Macaca mulatta: one gene and its partners. The protein of the gene in region 1 interacts with the protein of each later gene in a pairwise test. Links are inferred from orthologs where the notes say so. Each region holds a gene or a part of one and is shown on either strand. Other genes may lie near its edges.

Region 1 (7,621 bases):
TCTTTGCTTAATAAATGGGAGGAATGGTTCTTATTATAAAGCCTGAACTCTCCCCTGAGGGTCATTCATTCACCTCCACTTCCCCCCTAAAGCCTTTAAGGGAACTTGCCACTGGAAATCTGCCATGATTTGGAGTGTTCTCCACTCAGTTTAGAATGACATTGCAATATTAATGTTGGAGTTAGATGTTATGTCCAGGAAGATTGTGTATTTGGTTTGCAAAGCTAAACTGTGGTTCAGGAATTGCAAAAGGAACTCTCCGTTGAGTTCAAAGTGTACTCAGCTAAAGATACTTGGTATCTGAGGTACAGAAGCTATGCCTGCATTTTCCACTGTCCTGGCACGTAGTAGGTACACAGTAGATATGTGTTGACTAAATAAATGAGAGAAAGAAATTTAAAATGTGGGCCGGATGCAGTGTCTTACGCCTTTAATCCTAGCACTTTGGGAGGCCGAGGCGGGTGGATCACCTGAGGTCAGGAGTTCGAGACCAGCCTGGCTAACATGGTGAAACCCTGTTTCTACTAAAAATACAAAAAATTAGCTGGGCATGGTGGCGCATGCCTGTAATCCCAGCTACTCAGGCGGCTGAGACAGGAGAATCCCTTGAACCTGGGAGGCAGAGGTTGCAGTGAGCTGAGTGAACTGCACTCCAGCTTGAGCAACAAGAGCGAAACTCCATCTCAAAAAAAAAAAAAAATGGAGTTGATTACTTTTCTTTCAATTCTGTAAATGTCATTTTTTTTTGTATGCAGTGTTAGATTATAGAAAGGGTGATGAACTAGAAGTCAGGAGACTTTTTTGTTTTTTTTAATCCTGATGCAGTTCATTTTATGTTTCTGAGCTTTGGTTTCCTCATTTGAAAATGGAGAGATTGGACAGCAGCTCTCTAAGCTGAAGGTAGCCCTTTCTGTCAATTGCATCCCCATCCTTCCTGTTACTTAAAGATGCTTTTAGAGTAGACCTGACCTTTTAAGCTGCTTCCTGCTAGGAGAGTTCTCAAAGATGAGGATAGCCTGAAGATTTTGTTAAACTGGATCTGGACTACCTGAGAATCCACACATCCCTTGTGAACCCGAGGAGACTATGAACCCACTGAAATTGAGTGTAAAATAGTATGTGGTACATGTGTATGTGAATGCTCCCGTCAATTTTTTTGCACAGGGCGTCCCTAGCTTTTATTGGATTCCTTCAGATGTTATAACCTCTCACAGGTTGATTTGTAGAGAAGCTGGGTCTATGTGGTCTGAGCCCTGGGGATTTCACATATGCTGAGATCTCAGGGGCAGAGACTGGGGTCTTATCTCCATTGTGTTATTTTTTTTTCTGTGATTTTTAGCCCAGTTTTTTCTAATTTCCAATACCAGTAATCCCTACAGAACCTCGGTGGGCATGCAGTGTTCCATAGTTTACTCCTGTTTTCTCATTCTGCTACTACCACTCCACCCATCAAGTGTTTCTGCTAATGAAAGCATTTTTCTTCCTTTCCCCTTTTCTCCTTCTCCTTGATGACTGGTTGCCCTGGGGACTCCGGCAGTTGGCCGTGTTTACATCAGGTAAGATGCATTTCATTTTACTTTGTCTTTCATCAGCTATGGTTGCACAAGACAGCCCTAGTCTCAGGAGACTACTGTCAGAAGCTGCAATCTGCCCTGCTTGTGGGCTCATTTGCTTACTTACCCCCAAAGCCTTCTTTACATACCTGCCCACTGACAGGCACTTGATGAAATCGGGATGGTCCTAATTCTGCCACAGATGGCCTTTGTGGGTCTCAGTTACTCGTTTATAAATTGGATTGGATTGATAGTATGTTAGTTAGGTCCTTTTTATTTTTGAGATTCTGCTTCTATTAAAACAGTACCTCCTATCATATCAACAGTCCCCCAGCCCTTAAAATTTATGAAAATATTAGGAAGGGGAAAACTTTTTTGGTGTCAACAAAGAGCTTTTGTGAGGAGAGAAAAGTCTATTTTCCCAGCTTTAGCACCTGCTAAAGCCTGGCATTCACAAGTGGCTGTGAATAATCACAGCCAGCTAAATGTCTCCCTGGTTGTCAGCAGTAGAGTACCACACTTGTAGGTGGCCTAGGAATGTAGGGGAGGACAGAAGTTCCAGACTGCTAAAGCTTCAGAATCTGGATGGGAGAAAGAAGGTGGGAACAGGGCTGCACATTCTGTCCCCAGCAGGACCTGGTAGAACATATTGACTGTGAGTTTATGAAGAACACATAACACATTAGTTTTGGAGCTATGAACAGCAAGAGTATGAAATAAAATCATTCAATGCTGCTATCTCCTCAGCCCTGAAGTAATTCATGTTTATAGAATGTCTATAAAAACACATTTTGGTGAGGTGTGGTGGCTCACGCCTGTAATTCCAGCACTTAGGGAGGCCAAGGCAGGTGGATCACTTGAGGCAAGGAGTTTGAGAATAGTCTGGCAAACATGGCAAAATCCCGTCTCTACAAAAAATACAAAAATTAGCCGGGCATGGTGGTGCACGCCTATAGTCCCAGCTACTAGGGAGGCTGAGGCATGAGAATTGCTTGAATCTGGGAGGCGGAGGTTGCAATGAGCTGAGATTGCGCCACTGCACTCCAGCCTGGGTGACAGAGTGAGACTGTTTCGAAAAAAAAAAAACATTTTTATCACTTGTTTTTTTAAGAAAATTAATTTTTTTTTGTTTTTTGTTTTTGAGACGGAGTCTTGCTCTGTTGCCCAGGCTGGAGTGCAATGGTGAGATCTTGGCGGGAACCTCTGCCTCCTGGGTTCAAGCGATTCTTTGTGCCTCAGCCTCCTGGGTAGCTGGGATTACAGGTGCATGCCACCACACCCAGCTAGTTTTTTTTGTCTTTTTGACAGGAAAATACAGTTGCTCCTACTGGGAAGGTGGGGATTTAAAGTTTGCTATACTTATACCAGCAGCCTAAATTGATGCTGGGTATGTCAGACTTGACAGCCCCAGGCTTGCAGTTTCCCTCCCCCGTGTTGCTAGGAGGCCCTAGAGAGAAACACAGTATGAAGAAGCTTTGTGATTTTTTTTTTTTTTTTTTTTTTTTTTTTGAGACAGAGTCTTGTCACCCAGGCTGGAATGCAGTGGTGCAATCTCGGCTCACTGCAACCTTCACCTCCCGGGTTCAAGTGATTCTCCTGCCTCAGCCTCCCGAGTAGCTGGAACTACAGGCATGCACCACCACGCCTGACTAATTTTTGTATTTTTAGTAGAGATGGGGCTTCACTATGTTGGCCAGGCTGCTCTTGAACTCCTGACCTCAGGTGGTCCACCCACCTCCGCCTCCCAAAGTGCTGGGATTACAGGCATGAGCCACCGCACCCAGCCAGTTATGATGATATTTAAAGGCAATTTTGATTTTATCACTGGTAAGTATTTGTTGAATGCTAGGAGAAGGAACGGGAGTCGGATTCCTTGAGGTGTTCCCTGCTCATGCTGGTGTTTCCCAGTTTGAGGCCTCTGGCCTATGTTGTTATGGCGGCTCTGGCTGATCACTCTGGTGGGTCTTGGGCCATTCATGCATTTTTCTCTCCTATTTGCAGTGGTTGGAGACCCGACCTAACAGACAGGTGTGTCCCGTTTGCAAAGCTGGCATCAGCCGAGACAAAGTCATCCCCCTCTATGGAAGGGGCAGCACTGGGCAACAGGACCCCAGGTGAGGACTTAGGATGCCTCTCCCACCCACTTTTCCCCTTGGACGTGAATTCATTCCCATTCAGCATCCCCTAACCCCACCCTTTACTTAGTACTAGATGATCCCTTGGTTTTGAAACAGTCTCATCCAGATGAGAGTCAGCTAGGAGGGGAGGGAAGAGAGGGGATCCAAGTTGCCGCTTGCTGGGACCCAGCAGTGGACAGACATCACAATCACAAGTGTACAGAGCACTGTGAAAGAGCACTTCTGCAGCCTGGGAAGCAGGCTATGTAGCAGGAGAGGCTCCAGGGAGTAGGGTTGCTGCATCAGAGACGTATGAAGCATCGGGGGAGAGGAAACAGGATCTGGGTGACTTTGTGGAGTTTGGGATTTCTAGAAATGGAGATGTGCATGGGTCCAGCGTTCCACAAACACAAGTACGAGAACCTTTCATGGTCTGGCATCCCCAAGCTTTCCCGAAGAATCTCTTACCTTCTCCTGCCTACCCTAGCATATGCTGTGTACCCAACATATTAGACTTCTCTTAAAGGGACTTGCTCTTTCACATTTATCAGCCTGTGTATTTGCTCTCTCTTCTGCCTTCTTCCCTCCCCAGTCCTGCTCGAGCTACCCCTCTACCCCCACCTTCTCCTCTAACTTCTACTCATCTCTTATGAGCAGCCCTAAAGTCCCCTCTTCCTTGAAGCGGTCTGTCTTCTCCACATTAGTTGCTCTCACCCAGTTCCCACCGCACTGTCATGTGATTGGCTCTATCCCCGTTGAAACCATGAACACCTCTTGCGTCTGTCATCAGTCTCAGTATTATAGCATCCTGCATAATGCTTATTGTGTAACTCAGCCCTCAATTGAGTATTCATGGGTTGAGTGATCAGAGGGGGTGAGGCTCAAAAATAATAGCATCGGGTATTTGCCCAAGAATAGTGTGAGATAGAACTGAAGTTAGTAGGGGAAGGTCAGAGAAACCATGAACCTCAGTCCTTAACTGCTGACAACCCACCCTCTGTTCCAGTATGGATTTGGAATTTCTGGTATCTGACAGGCCCAGGGAAGGCATCTGGCCATGATTCCTAACCAGTCCGAGTCAGGATCTCTGTAAGAGAAGGCTGTAGTGCAATCTGGTGAATATCTCGTAACAAGCTGATTTTCTCCCTGGTCCTCTATACAGGTGGGAAGAACAGTTGCAGGTAAAATGAAGAGTTAGTATTTGGAGAATTAATTTGACATAAGTTCATGTCCTGGGCAAGAAAGAGGCTATGGCCCTGACCCTGTTGGTGAAGAGCTCCAGGTCCTCACGGGGAGCAACTCAAAGCAATTTGTAATAGACTTATTTTACACCATTTCTGTTTCAGAGAGAAGACCCCTCCTCGTCCTCAAGGACAGAGGCCAGAGCCGGAGAATAGAGGGGTGAGGAACATTCTAGGAGAAGCTTCTACAAATGAGCTGATGGCTTTAGAAGTTTCCTTCTTAGCCTTACAATATTTCTCCTTGATTATAAAAGTACAGGAAAACTTGTAAAATACAGAAAGGAAAAGAGGGGGAAAAATCACTTATAACCACACCAATCCAGAGGTAACCACTGGAAACATTTTGGTTCTATTTTCTTTTCCATTTTTCTATAATTATATATACACACAAATTTTATAAATCTATGCGTGTATTTTATAGATGTGTGTATACGTTTTACAATTTTTTTGTTTTTTACAATACGTGGCTCCTGTTTTGTAACCCTCTCTTAAAATTTCATTTGTTCTGCAGATATTTAGTGCCTTCTTTGTGTGAGTGGGAGTCTTAGTATTATCTTGAGATTTTACATTACCAGCAATATTTTACTAACTAGCTGTTTAGCATTTAGTTGTGTGGATTTAACATAATTCAATCCTTTGTTAGACATTTAGCAGCTTTCTTTTTCCAATTTAAAAAATATCCTGATGAACTTACAGATAAATTTGTGAGCGTATTCACTGTTATTTTATTAGAATAAGACAGGGTCTCACTCTGTAGCCCAGGCTGGAGTGCAGTGGCGTGATCACGGTTCACTGTAGCCTCGACATCCTGGGCTCAAACAGTCTACCTCAACCTCCCATGTAGCTGGGACCACAGGTGCACGGCACCATGCCCAGCTAGTTTTTTGTTTGTTTGTTTGTTTGTTTGTTTGGTAGAAACAAGGTCTCACTATGTTGCCCAGGCTGGTCTCTAACTCCTGGGCTCAAGCAATCCTCCCATCTCAGCCTCCCAAAGTGTTAGGATTACAGGCGTGAACCACTGTGCCTAGCTTAGGATAAATTCTTAGAAGTAAAATTACTGGCTAAAAAAAAATTGCACATTTATCTCTAGTGGTCTAGTGGCTAGGAACAAAAACATTTTAAACTTTTTTGCATATTTACATCAAATGTTACTCTTAAAAAAAATTCTGGGCCGGGCGCGGTGGCTCAAGCCTGTAATCCCAGCACTTTGGGAGGCCGAGACGGGCGGATCACGAGGTCAGGAGATCGAGACCATCCTGGCTAACACGGTGAAACCCCATCTCTACTAAAAAATACAAAAAACTAGCCGGGTGAGGTGGTGGGAACCTATAGTCCCAGCTACTCGGGAGGCTGAGACAGGAGAATGGCGTGAACCCAGGAGGCAGAGCTTGCAGTGAGCTGAGATCCGGCCACTGCACTCCAACCTGGGCGACAGAGCGAGACTCCATCTCAAAAAGAAAAAAAAAATTCTGTTAAAATGTTAAAGAAATTTTAAAAGCAAAATATTTACCCGCATTGCCAAGAGCCCAGAACAAGTATATTCTCATTTCCTCATGTTCTCTTTATCTGTATGCTGTGCATATGTATTTTTATGTAGCCATCACCATTCTGTTTGCTTTAAAATTTAATTTTGGCAGGTTTTCCATGATGCTCTGAAGTGTCCTCTTTATTATTTAGGCTGCCATTTATCCCATTGAGTTTTTTATTTTTTTTTATTTTTCCATGCTATTACTGGGAACTCATTGAGTTTTGGTTCATTATAATTTGGGTTTTCCTCATCGAAGGACCTTTTAGTTGTTTCCCCATTTTGCTGTTTAAATAATAATGCTACAGTGACTATCTTTGTACACCTTTTTTTTTGAGATGGAGTTTCACTCTTGTTGCCCAGGCTGGAGTTTCATTGGTGCGATCTCGGCTCACCAAAACCTCTGCCTCCCGGGTTCAAACAGTTCTCCTCAGCCTCCAGAGTAGCTGGGATTACAGGCATGTGCCACCACACCTGGCTAATTTTTGTATTTTTAGTAGAAACAGGGTTTCTCTATGTTGGTCAGGCTGGTCTCCCAAGCTCAGATGATCTGCCCTCCTCGGCCTACCAAAGTGCTGGGATTACAAGTGTGAGCCACCGCGCACTGCCACTTTTTTCTTTTTTTCTTTTTTGAGTTTGAATAATGGCATTTTATTAGGATTTCCAGGAGTAGGATTATTGAGTCAGGGATCTTGATAGAAATTAAGGTTCTTGGCTGGGCACGGTGACTTATGCCTGTAATCCCAGCACTTTGGGAGGCCGAGGCAGGTGGATCACCTGAGGTCAGGAGTTCGAGACCAGCTTGACCAATATGGTGAAACCCTGTCTCTACTAAAAACACAAAAATTAGCTGGGCATGGTGGCATGTGCCTGTAGTCCCAGCTACTCGAGAGGCTGAGACAGGAGAATCGCTTGAACTCGGGAGGCAGAGGTTGCAGTGAGCTGAGATTGCACCAATGCAGCGAGACTCCGTCTCAAAAAAGAAAAAAAAAGAAAGAAATTAAGGTTCTTAAGGTTCTTTTCTCCAGATTACACTTAATAATAATACTAGCAGTGAACACTTGTTGAACTGTTACTATATGGAAATAACTATATGTTAAGAGCTTTATAAATGCATGATCTCATTTAAGCCTCACATCAACTCATTTAATGGAGGAGGAAACTGAGGCCTAAATAGGTAAAGTG
Region 2 (6,838 bases), on another chromosome or scaffold:
CTGGGGAGGCAGGTGAGGTGGGGCTCAGAGTTATGCTCAGGGTTCAGCCACACTTTCCCTGGGCAGGGTGCTGGTGATGGCGAGTGCGGGTGAAGGAACTGTGGTGCTCTCAAAGGGTTATGGTGGGACTGGTTATGGATCGGGACTGTAGGAACACAGGGGACACACACAATCTCGTGGGTTAGAGGAAGACCTCGTGGAGGACGTGAGGAATTGGCTGAAACCTAAAGGAGAAGGAACGCTTCCTGGGGAATGGGGGAGGGGAGCTGAAGTATGTTCCAGGCAAAGGGAACAGCATATGCAGAAGATCAAAGATGGGCTGGGGGCAGTAGCTCCCCGCCTGTAATTCCAGCACTTCGGGGGACTGAGGTGGGCAGATCACCTGAGCTCAGGAGTTCAAGACCAGCCTGGCTAACATGGTGAAACCCCATCTCTACTAAAAATACAACAAAATCAGCCAGGCTTGGTGTTGAGGCCCTGTAATCTCAGCTACTCTGGAGGCTGAGGCAGGAGAATCGCTTGAACCTGCGAGGCAGAGGTTGCAGTGAGCCGAGATCACGCCAGTGCACTCCAGCCTGGGCAAAAAGAGTGAGACTCTGTCTCAAAATAAATAAATAAATAAAATAAAAATACAAAAATTAGACCGGGCGTGGTGGCTCATACCTGTAATCCCAGCACTTTGAGAGGCCAAGGCAGGCAGATCACGAGGTCAAGAGATCGAGACCATCCTGGCTAACACGGTGAAACCCCGTCTCTACTAAAAATACAAACAAATTAGGGTGTGGGTGCAGGCGCCTGTAGTCCCAGCTACTTGGGAGGCTGAGGCAGGAGAATGGCGTGAACTCGGGAGGCGGAGCTTGCAGTGAGCCAAGATGGCGCCACTGCACTCCAGCCTGGGCGACAGAGTGAGACTCTGTCTCAAAAAACCAAACCAAAACAAAACAAAACAAAAATACTAAAATTAGCCAGGTGCAGTGGTTGGGCACCTGTAATCCTAGCACTTTGGGAGGCCGAAGTGGTGGATCACTTGAGGTCAGGAGTTGGAGACCAGCCTGGCCAACATGGTGAAACCCCATCTCTACTAAAAATACAAAAATTAGCCAGGCATGGTGGCGCATGGCCTGTAGTCCCAGCTACTCAGGAGGCTGAGGCATGAGAATCGCTTGAATCTGGGAGGCGGAGGTGGCAGTGAGCCAAGATCATGCCACCGCATTCCAGCTGGGAGGACAGAGTGACACTCCATCTCAAAAAGAAAAAGGGGGCTGGGGCTGGGCGCAGTGGCTCACGCCTGTAATCCCAGCACTTTGGGAGGCTGAGGTGGGCATATTACCTGAGGTCAGGAGTTTGAGACCAGCCTGGTCAACATGGCAAAACCCTGTCTCTACTAAAAATACAAAAATTAGTCGGGCGTGGTGGCACACGCCTGTAATTCCAGCTACCCAGGTGGCTGAGCCAGGAGAGTTGCTTGAGCCCAGGAGGCAGAGGTTGCAGTGAGCAGAGATCGTGTCACTGCACTCTATCCAGCCTGGCCGACAGAGTGAGACTCTGTCTAAAAAAAGAAAAAAAAAAGAGGGAAAGGCTGAGTTCTTTCAGGTGGGGCATGGAGACAGGAGGGTGGAGGTCAGCAGGGAAGGAGCCTCTCAGGACAAGGGAGAAGCTCCTGGCAGGCCTCCATCCTTGACCTCGGCCTTGCCCCCAGGTCCTGAACCGGATCAAAGGCTCACTGCTGCCCCGGCCTGGCCACAACTTTGTGCGGCACCATCTGCGGAATCGGCCAGATCTGTATGGTGAGTGAGGTACATTTGGTTCCTTGATGGATCACTCAACAAATGTGGCCTGAGTTGCAGACACCAGTGTACAGCTGAGGACAAATCAGTCACTCAGAGAGTGTGACTTACCTGCTGTTCAGGGAGACAGACATGAAGGACTGCAGAGGGTGGCGGGTAGAGAGCATATAGGAGGAGCGGCCTTGCTGTTTTGCAGGGTGCAGCAGGGCAGGCCTCCCTGAGCAGGGTGAGGGAATGAGCCTTGTTGGCAACGGGAGGGGTAGGGGAGACCTAGGAAAAGAGGGTTCCAGAAACAGCATAAGCTTCATGGCAGGAACTTGCATGAACTGCAGGGCGGCATTACCACTGGAGTAAATGAGCTGCAGGGAGATCACAGGTGGGGGGACTCTGACTGTGCCCCCCATCCTCAGGCCCCTTCTGGATCTGTGCCACGTTGGCCTTCGTCTTGGCTGTCACTGGCAACCTGACGCTAGTGCTGGCCCAGAGGAGAGACCCCTCCATCCACTACAGCCCCCAGTTCCACAAGGGTAAGCAGGCGGGCAGGACCGATGCCTGGCAGGGCCCCGGGGGGCAGGGGGTGACTGCTCACCTTGCCCCCAGTGACCGTGGCAGGCATCAGCATCTACTGCTACGCGTGGCTGGTGCCCCTGGCCCTGTGGGGTTTTCTGCGGTGGCGCAAGGGTGTCCGGGAGCGCATGGGGCCCTACACCTTCCTGGAGACCGTGTGCGTCTACGGCTACTCCCTCTTTGTCTTCATCCCCATGGTGGTGAGTGTGGCCTGGCGCGGAGTGGGTGGCGGCTGTGTGGGGACACTGGCATGGTCACCTGCTGCCTCACTCCCATGGTGGTGAGGGTGGCCTGGTGCGGAGTGGGTGGTGGCTGTGGGGACTGGCATGGTCACCTGCCGCCGTGTTGCTCCCAGGTCCTGTGGCTCATCCCTGTGCCTTGGCTGCAGTGGCTTTTTGGGGCACTGGCCCTGGGCCTGTCGGCCACCGGGCTGGTATTCACCCTCTGGCCTGTGGTCCGTGAGGACACTAGGCTGGTGGCCATGGTGCTGCTGTCTGCGGTTGTGCTGCTCCATGCACTCCTGGCCGTGGGCTGTAAGGTACAGGTCTGGGGTGGCCACAGGTGTACCTCAGGTGGGGCTGAGGGGCTGGGGGGGGGTGTGCGCTGGCCCTGCCTCTGACCCCAGGGGTCTTGTGCAGTTGTACTTCTTCCAGTCGCTGCCTCCGGAGAAGGTGGCTCCTCCACCCCAAATCACATCTCTGCCCTCAAACATCCCGCTGCCCCCTACCCTGCCTCAGTCCATGGCCCCCTCCTAGAAAGGCCCGGGTCCCACAGGTAAGGACTGTTTCCAGCTGGGCTAAGGGGGCTGCCCTCCCACCCCCAGTCAAGGTAAGAGGTTCTGGGGACACTCCCAGACAATTCTTTCTTTCAGGCAACACCTAAGTGGACCAACCCCTCTGCCTGTCCTGCCCCCCAGATGATGACTGAAGGCTCCCTTGACACCTTGAGATGACTCTGCTACTTTCCAGACTTTTCTTACAAAGCAAACACTTTTATTTTCTATGCAAAGGTGATTCAGAGAATTTATATAAAGGCGGGAGAGGGGCAGCCGAGCAGGGAGCTTTGGGACAGGGCTGGGGCTCCCATATCCCCCTGGGCCACCTGCTTTCCCTCCCATGGCTCCCCTGGAACAGGAGAGCGAGCCAAGGGGGCGCCCCAGCCTGGACAGCACCCGCTCCTGCCTGGGTGCACATATGGCGGGCCTGGGTCCGGGCCTGAGCTCCAGCATCTGAGTTTGGGGGTGTCAGAAACAGGGGAGCAGAAGGAGAAGAAAACTGCCTGTGCTGTAACACGTTTCCTTGTTTATTTTTTCTTTTTCTTTTTTTTTTTTCTGGAGGGAGAGGTCCCTGCAAGGTCCCTTCCCAGGCAGGGGAGGGACGGAAATGCCGTCACAGTAGTAGGGACTGGAGCGTCTACAAGGATGGAGGGGAGCTACTCAGGCCTAACATTAGCTACAAGGAAAAAGGACGCCTTCCGTGACAGATCTTTGAGGTGTCTGTGTCTGCCCCAAGTGGCCGGCAGTGGCCTTTCCTCCGGGCCCAAGGCCTGCAGCCACCTGCTCTAACTCTGGGTGGGGGGAGCTGGGGGGACTGCAGGGGCTCGGGGACAGGACAGCAGCAAGAGGCAGGGGCCGAGGACGGAGGCCTTCCCGACAGTGGGGTGGGTTGTACATTCAAGTGTGAGGTGAACCCTTTGGTGGGGAGGGGGCCCCTGAAGCCTCAGCGGGGCCACCCCTCCCTGCGGCGCCTCTTGAGTCTAGGGGGAGGGGCTGCTGGCTCGGCCCGGCCGGCCTGGCTTCACAGAGGGTCTGCGGATTGACACTGGTTCTTTTCGTAAAAAAATAAAATTAAAAAAAGCAGCATGTCACGTCCGTTGTGACCAAGGCCTGGTCGTCGAAGGGGAGGCCCCGCCTGGCCAGGCTACCTTCCCACTGGAGACAGGCAGGGGAACAGGTGCTAAGGGACCTGGCAGGCAGGGCTGGCAGGCCCCATGGCGCCTGTTCCAACAGATGACAATCCCAGGTCAGGGTGGAGCGGGCAGGAGGGGGACGAGGGCTCCCACGACATGATTTTGTGTAAAATATGGCAGCGACACACGCTCAGGGCTAGGAGGTGGGGGTTAGGGTGGGGATGGCGGCAACATCGTGTAAAAAAGTGTCCCAGTTCCCATAGCAAAGAGGGCTGTGACCGGGTGTTCGGGCTTCTCCAGTACAAGGGGGAAAGCCGCCCGGCGGGGGGGCGGGCGGGGACATCATTTGGTTTCCTGGTGCTGTCAGTCCGCGGGGCAGGCCCCTAGCTCCCGTAGTGCATGGTGTTGGTCGGGATGGACATGGGCGACGCCATGGAGATGGCAGGGCCGCCCATGGTGAACTGGCTGTTGACTGCATAGTGGGCACTGGTGCCGCCACCACCGCTGCCCTGGGCGCCGGAGGACCCTGTGGGGCAGGCGATGGCAGTGAGGGGCTGCCCTGGCCCACCCAGCCCCCAGGCAGAGTCACAGAGAGGAAGGGCAGGCAAGAGGGCAGGCGGGCGGCCGGACAGAGGATGGCGACTCACACGCTAGCTCGGCCCCCACGGGCCCTGCCCCCGCCACCCTCATTACCTTGGACAATCCCCGTGCTCATTATGGAGCCCATCCGGGAGTGGGTGTGATTGACAATCCCCGTGTTGGCTGCGCAGCAAGAGGGAGGAAAGAAGGAAGGGAGACGGCGTCACCGCCCCCAGCCACCCAGCCCATGCGCAGCAGCAGGCTGCAGAGCGAGGCAGAGAGGACGGAGGGCCTCGGCCGAGAGCCCCCTGGAAGAGGAAAAGGCGAAAGGACCAAGCACAGGCCGACCCTGGTTGCCACAGGCCCTTCCCGGCCTCTGGGCAGTCCTGGGCATGGCTCTCTGCTGACCCTGGCCCTGGGGGACACTCACCTAAAGGAATCAGGTTGTTGTGGCCCACGCTGGAGCCACTGGCAATAACACTGCTCAGGTCGTAGGCGGTCGGCATCCCTGTGCCCAGAGAGGGGAGACGTCAGGGCTGGAGGCAGAGGGGCCAGGCCTGCAGTGAGGGCGGCCTCCCGGGTTGGCTGGGCATTGGGGCGTGCCCTGCTCACCTGCCACGGCCATCCCGCTGCTGAGGTTGTAGGTGCTGCCTGTGTTCCACATGTTTTCCGAGGGAGATGTGTAGTGGGAGCCGGGTGGGGGTGAGGGTGTCGTGCCCGTGTATCTGTGGCAGAGACAGAGCCATGGGCAGGGGCAAGGGGGCTGCAGGGCCGGGGCGCCCCCACCCCGTGCAGGTAGGGTGCCCCTCCTACCTGAAGAAGGGGTTTTTTAGATCCAGGAGGTTACTGGACTTAGAGCCGGTCTGGTCCACCTGGGCCACAATACTGATGTCGTAGCTCTGTCTGTGGAGAGGGTGCAGGCCGCGGCGTGAGTGGCTGGGAAGATGGACCCCTGCCCCCCACCACCAGCCCCAGGGAGCAGTCACACCTCTTGTTGGCAATAAGCAGACATGTCCCTGAGAGCGTGTCCCCTGCCTTGGCGAACAGTGGTGACTGGAACAGGCACCGCACCTGGTACCAGTGAGTCAGGGGCTCTGTCGGGGCTGTGGACAGCCACACGGTCATTCTGTGGAGCAGGGACAGGCACACACTTGACTGGGCCAGCGCCATCACTGGAGCCACCACCTTGTATGCCTTGAGTCCTCCCCAAGCACCTGCCCCCTCTGCCAGGGACCCCCGGGACGGGCTGGCCCCCAGGCATTCCCAGACACATACATGAGCAGGCATACATGTACACACGAGGGACCTGCAGCCACGAGATCCCTGCTCACCCTGACATGTGCCAAGAGACAGACACAGGCCCATGAGGGACAGACACTGGGAACACAGGACACACAGGACACACACACACCCCACCCACAACAGTCTCTTGCTCTGAGACAGGCTCTCACTCCCATTGGAAGGGATGGTGGAACCTGGAGCCACGTTCCACCCTCCCAGTCAGGTTGCAGCTGCAGGAAGCCCTGGGAGTGGGGAGGAGGCAGCACAGGCTGCTCTGCGGCACTCACATGGAGCCGATGAAAGCAACGTCAAACCAGAAAGCCAGGCCATGGACCAGCCCTGAATGCAGCATGTGGAATTTGAATGGGATTTCTATCCTGGAAGGCAAAGGGCAGTGGCTGCTGGGGAAGCCAGACAGGCGCTGCCAAGAGAGAAGAGGGGGTGCCAGGTGCAGAGGCCCGGGGCCCCCGCCCACCACCTGCCCTGGGACGGCAGGATGTCAGTGGCCCTGACCTTCGGCCTGAGGCAGGCCTGGGAGGATGGAGTGTGGGTGCCGGTACCTGTGCAAATCTCCTTCTTTGGCTTCTAAGAAGTTCACCGTGTACTTGACAGACTTGGCCATCAGGATCCGGATGTCAAATGTGTCCTGGGAGAGACAACAGGTGTGACCTGGCATCTGGTGCCAAGGCCGACATGGAAGGGGAGAGCCCTGCCCC
Region 3 (7,076 bases), on another chromosome or scaffold:
GCTGCTTTTGAAAGACTTCCTTACATTATGTGTGAGTCTTTAACCGCTTTAATGGTTTGCACATTAACACATGAGCATACTCTATTGAAACTAAATTTTGAAATGGTTTTCTTTCTTGTAGGATTATTTTGTCAGGTGTAATAGTGAAAACTTAATAGACTTTTAACATCTAGTTTAGTTGGATATAGATGCTATTTTCCTAACATGAGTATTTTCAAACACATAAAGTCAAAAGAATTACACAGTGAACACCCATATTCCTACCATCTAGATTCTAGGATTAATGCTGGTGTATGTATCCATCTTTTTATCCTTCTATTCAGGAAGGATGATCCCTCCTGCTAATAATTTTAATCACCTCCTATCATGGCACTGACATGGCATGGCACAGTCTCCAATGACCTGGTAATTTGTTGAATGGAATAAATATTTTTCATTTCACTTTCTAGCTACAGTGGCTGAGTTTAATAATTACATCAGAGACTGGACCTAAGTTATTAGTATCTGACCCATTAAGAAACAGTTTGCTGGCCAGGTGCGGTGGCTCATGCCTGTAATCCCAGCACTCTGGGAGGCCAAGGTGGGTGGATCACTTAAGGTCAGGAGTTCCAGACCAGCCTGACCAACAGGACCAATAGGTGGTGAAACCCTATCTCTACAAAAAACACAAAACTAGCCCGGCGTGGTGGGACGCACCTGTAGTCCCAGCTACCTGAAAGGCTGAAGTGGGAGAATTGCTTGAACCTGGGAGGCAGAGGTTGCAGTGAGCCGAGATCACGCCATTGCACTCCAGCCTGGGTGACAGAACGGAACCCTTTCTCAAAAAACAAAAAAGTTTGCCAATACCTACTTTAAGCAATTGGAATATAATGAACATTCTTTTTTTTTTTTTTTTAAACCTTAGTTTTTCTTCTCTTGACTTCTAAGATATTACCCACTTTTCTTCCTCACTTCATAGCTGTTCTTTGTTAGTTCCCACAATTATTTCCCTTCCTACTCGTCTTTCTTAAATGTAGTTCCTCAGTTCTGACCTTGTTACCTTTACTTTCTGTACACATTGACACTTGGATGATCGTATCTATACTGATGTTACCACCCGTACATTGATGAAATGTGTAGGCTTGCCCTCTCTCACGAGAGCCTGATGTTTAACTAAATTAGTAGGTGATGGTATCATAGAATGATAGGTTTGTAGGATTTATGATATTGCATTCAGTTTTGGCAGTAGTGTTACACTCAGGTATCTAAGGAACATTCATATGGTTAACCACCCAAGTCACAGCCTTTGGAGTTTTTCTCTGTCTCCTTTGCTCCTGTTGATAACCATTCCCTGTATCATTCTGTTACTATATTTACATAATTACTCTGATCATTTTTAAAAATTCTTTTCAACTGCTCTGATAGATCTTTTCTCAACCTCTTTCTTCCTTTCTCCGTCTTCTCCGTTGCTATCAGGTAGCTTTATAAAGTGCAAATCTTACTTCACTAACAAAAACTTGTTAGTAGCTCTACTGTCACCTACTTGAGTCCAAATTCTTTAGTTCATAGAGTTTTTCCATGATCTGAACTCTCTGCAAACCTAGCTTTATTTCCTAAATTCTTTTCTTCAAACTCATGCTTTTTCAAGCATTGCATTCGTTTTTACATATTGTATCCAATCTGCCATATTTCCTCTGCCTGAGGAAACTTCCTCTTGGCAAATTTCTTTAACCTATAAGATTTTAATTTATGTATTATCTTCTTTTCCCTTGAAGATCTGTTTACTCCTTGCTTTATGTATATATCCTTGTCAGTATATTCTGTTATTTGCCTCAGAGTACTTCCAATTCGGATTTTCCATGTTTTTTTATATATGTGCTATTTATTCATATTTGGTTGTTAAAAGCATGGCTTGTATTCCAGCTTTGCTTTCCTGTTGAATTCTAAGCCTTACAGGCTAAGGTTGGACTCAAGGGTTTCTTCTAGCTCCTAAGATAGTTCAATAATTTGACTTATTTTCTTGTGATGAATCAGTGGTAGAAAGTAGATTTATCATTTTAATATGTAATAGATTTAAATATATAAAGTACTTTTAAAAGAAATATTAAAGTGAATTGAAGCATTAGTAATTTATACTTTGCTTTACTAAGTAATGGTGGTTCCAAAGTATTTGATAAATTTACCTCTTTCCAATGCATATGGGAAGTCTTTTAATAAAATTACTCTATTGTGAGTTTATGATCATCTCAAGTTATGTAATAAATTAGGTCTTTGCATGTGGGTTTCCATAAATCACTGTACACTAATGCAGCTGTAAGAAAACAGAAGAATCTAGTTGTATTCTAGCCTGGGCTGTGGGTTATACAAAAGCTGGTCACATTGTAAAAAATTATTCTAATGTCGGCCGGGCACGGTGGCTCAAGCCTGTAATCCCAGCACTTTGGGAGGCCGAGACGGGCGGATCACGAGGTCCGGAGATCGAGACCATCCTGGCTAACACGGTGAAACCCCGTCTCTACTAAAAAATACAAAAAACTAGCCGGGCGAGGTGGCGGGTGCCTGTAGTCCCAGCTACTAGGGAGGCTGAGGCAGGAGAATGGCGTAAACCCGGGAGGCAGAGCTTGCAGCGAGCCGAGATCCGGCAACTGCACTCCAGCCTGGGCAACAGAGCAAGACTCCATCTCAAAAAAAAAAAAATTATGCTAATGTCCACATATTTTTATAAGCTAGTAATCTGTGTTCAGTTGTATAATGTTTGCTGCTTTACAGTGTTTGGAACATCTCTTAATACTTCACTTAATCTAATTTTAGTCTTTTGCTAGTTATATCTGTTGGATTTGGAGATTAAAGTAGATTAATGTTACTTGTCTTTATTATTGTCAACACAAATTGTGAGTGAAAGCTTCAGGTTAAGTGGTCTTTTCTCGAGTGACATAGGTTGTCTATAATGCAAAGTGAATCACATTTTAAGTGTAGATTTGTTTTATTTGGAAAAAGTAGGATTGTAGGCAATTAAGAGCTGAAATACCATATCAAATATTATAACTGTAATGTCATGTCAATCAATTTTTTCCCCCCCATATAGTACAAACAAAATCCCGAAATGTTCAAACAGACAGCTCGACTTTGGGCACATGTGTATGCTGGAGCACCAGTTTCTAGTCCAGAATACACCAAAAAAATAGAAAACCTATGTGCTATGGGCTTTGATAGGGTAAGTACATAAGGGCATGTTGATTTTGATATATTGATTGATTTTAAATTATTGCAAATTCTTGACTGACAAAAGTGGTTTAGAAAATTAAGAGAAATTCGCAGCCTGAGCAACATGGCAAAACGCATCTCTACAAAAATTAGCTGGACGTGATGGTGAGTGCCTGTAACCCAGCTACTCTGAAGGCTGAGGTGAGAGAATCCCTTGGACCCAGGAGGTCAGGAGGTCGAGGCTGCAGTGAGCGATAGTCATGCCACTGCACTCCAGCCTCGATGATAGAGCAAGACCCTGTCTCAAAAAAAAAAAAAAAAGGAAAATAAGAGAAAATCTAGTTTTGGTAAACATATTTTCTGTTTTCGAAATCAGTGATTTTTTTTAATTTTTACTGATCACTGTCATTGATTTTAGAAGCTTTTCATGCACTGCAAATGTAAATCAACTTACAGAAAAGAAACAAGGTGTTAATTCCCAATATAAAGAGTGAATGATTCAGTATTGTTTAAATGTTTCCTTGAGATTTAATTTCTTGTCCCCTTTTCTTCTCTACAGAATGCAGTAATAGTGGCCTTGTCTTCAAAATCATGGGATGTAGAGACTGCAACAGAATTGCTTCTGAGTAACTGAGGCATAGAGAGCTGCTGATATAGTCAAGCTTGCCTCTTCTTGAGGAGCACCAACATCTGTTATTTTTAGGATTCTGCATAGATTTCTTTTAAACTGGCATTCTTGCCTAATGATGTTATCTAGGCACCATTGGAGACTGAAAAAAAAAAAAAAAATCCCTGCTCTGTAAATAAAGCTAATTAAACGTCTGTGTAAATTTAAAAAGGGGAAATACTTTAATTTTTTTTTTCTTAATAGTGTAAAAATTCCTTGAGCTAAGCTAAAACCATGGAAGAAACATGCTACTTTAGTGTTTAGCAGTGTACCAAGACTAGCAAGAGTTTGCTTCAGGATTTTGTTGAATAATTAAGATAATACTTTGAGTGTGTCAGGGCCATTCAAATTGTTGGTGTTGCATCACAGCTACCTTAACTGTTTTTAACATGGATCCTCTGTGCCTGTGAATTTACTTGCATGCTTGTACTTGACTTCTTAGGATGGGTAGCTGAAAAGACCACCATTTTAAGCATTTGAGAATTCTTAAATATGAAATTTATTCAGAATTGAAGATGGTGACCTATTCAGAGCCTTTTTGTCCTTGTCAACAGACTGGGACATAGTGTCTGTTTCCCCCCTTCCCACCCCTTTCCCCACCCCCACCTTGCCACACAAGCTAATATTCTAATGGTAAATTTCTCTGTATTTGGTGGGGAAATGTGCTGAAGGACAGTATGTATCCCTTGCTTCATTTTTAGGTCGTAGGTTTGGAATGTTTTGTCCCAGTTCTTCAAACACTCTTAAATTTTTCCTAAGTAATGTAAAAATGGAACTGCCAATTTTATTTCTCTTGCAAAAATAGTAAATACTTGGTGTTACATTATTCCCAGGTTTAATGAAAGAACCCAACTTAGTTTTTCAGTGAGTTTGACACCTGTTTTTTAAACGATGAAATTTTTCTTTGAGAACTGGCAAGGATGCAGTCAGCTGTTTCCAGTAGTTTTTAGCCTGATTTTGGGGTCTATAGCGATTGCTTTATTGGATACTTCAAGTCATTCTTGCTTGCACTTCCCCTATTGACACATGAAAGCTGTGTTGGTGTTTTATTGTACATACTTCAGATGCACATAGGAATAGAAGTGTGTTATAAATCTAGCTTTCTTTATGATGTTTCTGATAATATGAGAATTGAAAACTTTACCTTCTCTTGTACATAGTCAGACTATTTGTATTAAATTTTCATTTCATTCTAAGTTCAAAAGTTTGAAAATTATTAGTTTTGCAAGATCAAACACTAATGTGACCATTTTATGAAGGTTGAAGTGGATTTATGCAGGCAGTTCTATATATAGAAATACAATTCTTTTTAAATTTTTAGGACCAATACAAAATAACAAAAATGTAATGGAATCAGACTGAATTAAAGTAAGGCTGTATATTGAAAGTAATATTATAAAAGGTTTGCTTTCTTTAAGTGTTATTTATCTTAAATTATAATCGTTAAGTGTTTGGAAGATAATTTTTGAATCATAACGTCAGCATAACTTCATTTGACTTCTCAATAATCTTGATACTAGAAGCAATAAAAGAACCATTATTAAATATATTGTAATGTTAAAGATGTGAAGGTTCTTCCAAAAATTTGTAAGGCTTTCCTAATTAACAGTAAACTCTTATAGTTGATATTATTGCATACTAAACACAAGTTGCTGTTTTTTCCCCATATGTTTGCTTAAGCATGTCTTTATACAACCACCTCCTTTTATTGTTGTAGTTTATTTTCTAAAGATGCCAAAGGAAACAAGATTTTTCTTTATTTATTTTAAATACCTGAAACCTTGTACTTTATATTTTGAAGTAAGGTGGGATTGTGTGAAAATGTGGATGGTTTTTCTCCATTATTGGTTAGAATTACTTTTTTTAAGTGGAGGGCAACTTGGTACTATTCGTAGAATTTGGGTTTAAAAATATCAGACACATCTACCCAGGTTTTTTTTGCCTGTATTATCAGGGTATATTTAATGTCCTGTGGTTAGACAAAGGTGAGAGAGCTCAGAGGTTTCTAAAGGTCAGGCATTACATACATACGTACATGCTCTTGGAGGCAGCTATATCCTGCTTTGATTTTTATGCACATGAGCCCTATAGGGTTATATACTCATCTGACTACACTTCAACATCCCCAGTGCCCAAGAAATTGGAAAGTACATTTGGTTTGAGACATCTTCATAAAAGATTCTTTATTATAAAAATTTACCTCATTTACATTTAATGTGATGATCTTTTTTTTGCTTTCTGGTATATTTCCCACTGTACTGTTTGCTTTTGTTATTCTCTTGTGTGTGGGTAGATTTAGTTACCCAAACATAGAAACTAAAGCAATTGCTTTTTTCCTCTGTTCTTAAATATGTTTGGAAAAAAAGACACTAAAAGATCAGGCCTAGGGGAAAAGTACCCTGGTGGAAATTATTTTTGTAATTCTTAATATTTTTGAGTTGGCTCCGTTTGTCAGTTTTAAAAGTCTCAAAAATTATGTTAAAAAAAAAAAATCCAGTGAAATCCCATTTAGGGCAGGCCGATTTGTTAGAAGTCATTGATACTCCAGTAGGCTTTTGTTGTAATCAGGCCTGTTTCCTGAGTATGTGCCTCTTTTAAAAGAAGAAATAATTAGCTGTATAGTATTTCAGTACTGATGAATGAATGAATGAATGAATGAATGAATGGCAGTTAGTGGACCCAAATAAGTATTCAGTGGTATATAAATATTTGAGGGACTAGGTACTGAATTAGATGCTCTGAGTTGGCACCCCGAAATGTTTAGAATTACAACTATGATTTACTTATATCCTTGTAACACGTTCAAGGATATATAAATGTTTGGATTTTGTATTTTGCTTTTGAAGAGAATAATCTATGAAATGAAAGAATGGGGTTTTTTTTCCATTTTTTAGAAGTTATACACATTTATGATTGTTGGTGGCACATAAAACTATGCAAAATAATTCTTTTTAAGTATCTGTAAGAAAGAATTGGCAGTTTAAACGGATTTTGCTTATTTATGCACTACAGAATGCAGCATACTGTATTACTGTTGAGGCTGCTTAATAAGTTTACCAATGTGAAAAGCAGATCTTGGGCATAAGTGTATGCCTGATTTGAGCTTTTAAAACTGTGCAGTAGGTGTATGGTAATGTTTTACAATCCTATGTAGCAAAATAGGAAATTATGAATTTTTGTTGTTGTTGTTTTAAAGATTTAAGATGGATTGGGTAGGGAACAGCTG

What was found.
Region 2: the proteins of RNF185 (region 1) and YIPF2 interact in binary tests that used the Homo sapiens proteins (3 or more experiments, as listed by UniProt). The two-hybrid records come from large-scale screens. The link is inferred for Macaca mulatta from reciprocal best matches to the Homo sapiens genes RNF185 and YIPF2.
Region 3: the proteins of RNF185 (region 1) and UBE2K interact in binary tests that used the Homo sapiens proteins (3 or more experiments, as listed by UniProt). The link is inferred for Macaca mulatta from reciprocal best matches to the Homo sapiens genes RNF185 and UBE2K.

What each region holds. Positions count from the first base shown.
Region 1 is NC_133415.1:20,323,472-20,331,092, reverse strand, and holds part of RNF185 (E3 ubiquitin-protein ligase RNF185), read left to right. Parts: intron 1-1,537; coding exon of another isoform or gene 1,538-1,556; intron 1,557-3,554; coding exon 3,555-3,667; intron 3,668-5,016; coding exon 5,017-5,071; exon of another isoform or gene 5,072-5,236; intron 5,237-7,621. UniProt on the Homo sapiens protein: E3 ubiquitin-protein ligase that regulates selective mitochondrial autophagy by mediating 'Lys-63'-linked polyubiquitination of BNIP1.
Region 2 is NC_133424.1:11,658,389-11,665,226, reverse strand, and holds the end of YIPF2 (protein YIPF2), read left to right. Parts: intron 1-1,699; coding exon 1,700-1,787; intron 1,788-2,197; coding exon 2,198-2,314; intron 2,315-2,387; coding exon 2,388-2,554; intron 2,555-2,709; coding exon 2,710-2,892; intron 2,893-2,992; coding exon 2,993-3,109; 3' UTR 3,110-3,128; intron 3,129-3,225; coding exon of another isoform or gene 3,226-3,306; 3' UTR 3,307-4,215; downstream 4,216-6,838. Other genes in the region: histone-arginine methyltransferase CARM1, read right to left, coding at 4,646-4,788, 4,956-5,024, 5,272-5,349, 5,454-5,566, 5,655-5,744, 5,830-5,967, 6,410-6,499, 6,683-6,768.
Region 3 is NC_133410.1:38,989,337-38,996,412, forward strand, and holds the end of UBE2K (ubiquitin-conjugating enzyme E2 K), read left to right. Parts: intron 1-3,064; coding exon 3,065-3,193; intron 3,194-3,742; coding exon 3,743-3,817; 3' UTR 3,818-4,453; downstream 4,454-7,076. UniProt on the Homo sapiens protein: Accepts ubiquitin from the E1 complex and catalyzes its covalent attachment to other proteins. In vitro, in the presence or in the absence of BRCA1-BARD1 E3 ubiquitin-protein ligase complex, catalyzes the synthesis of 'Lys-48'-linked polyubiquitin chains.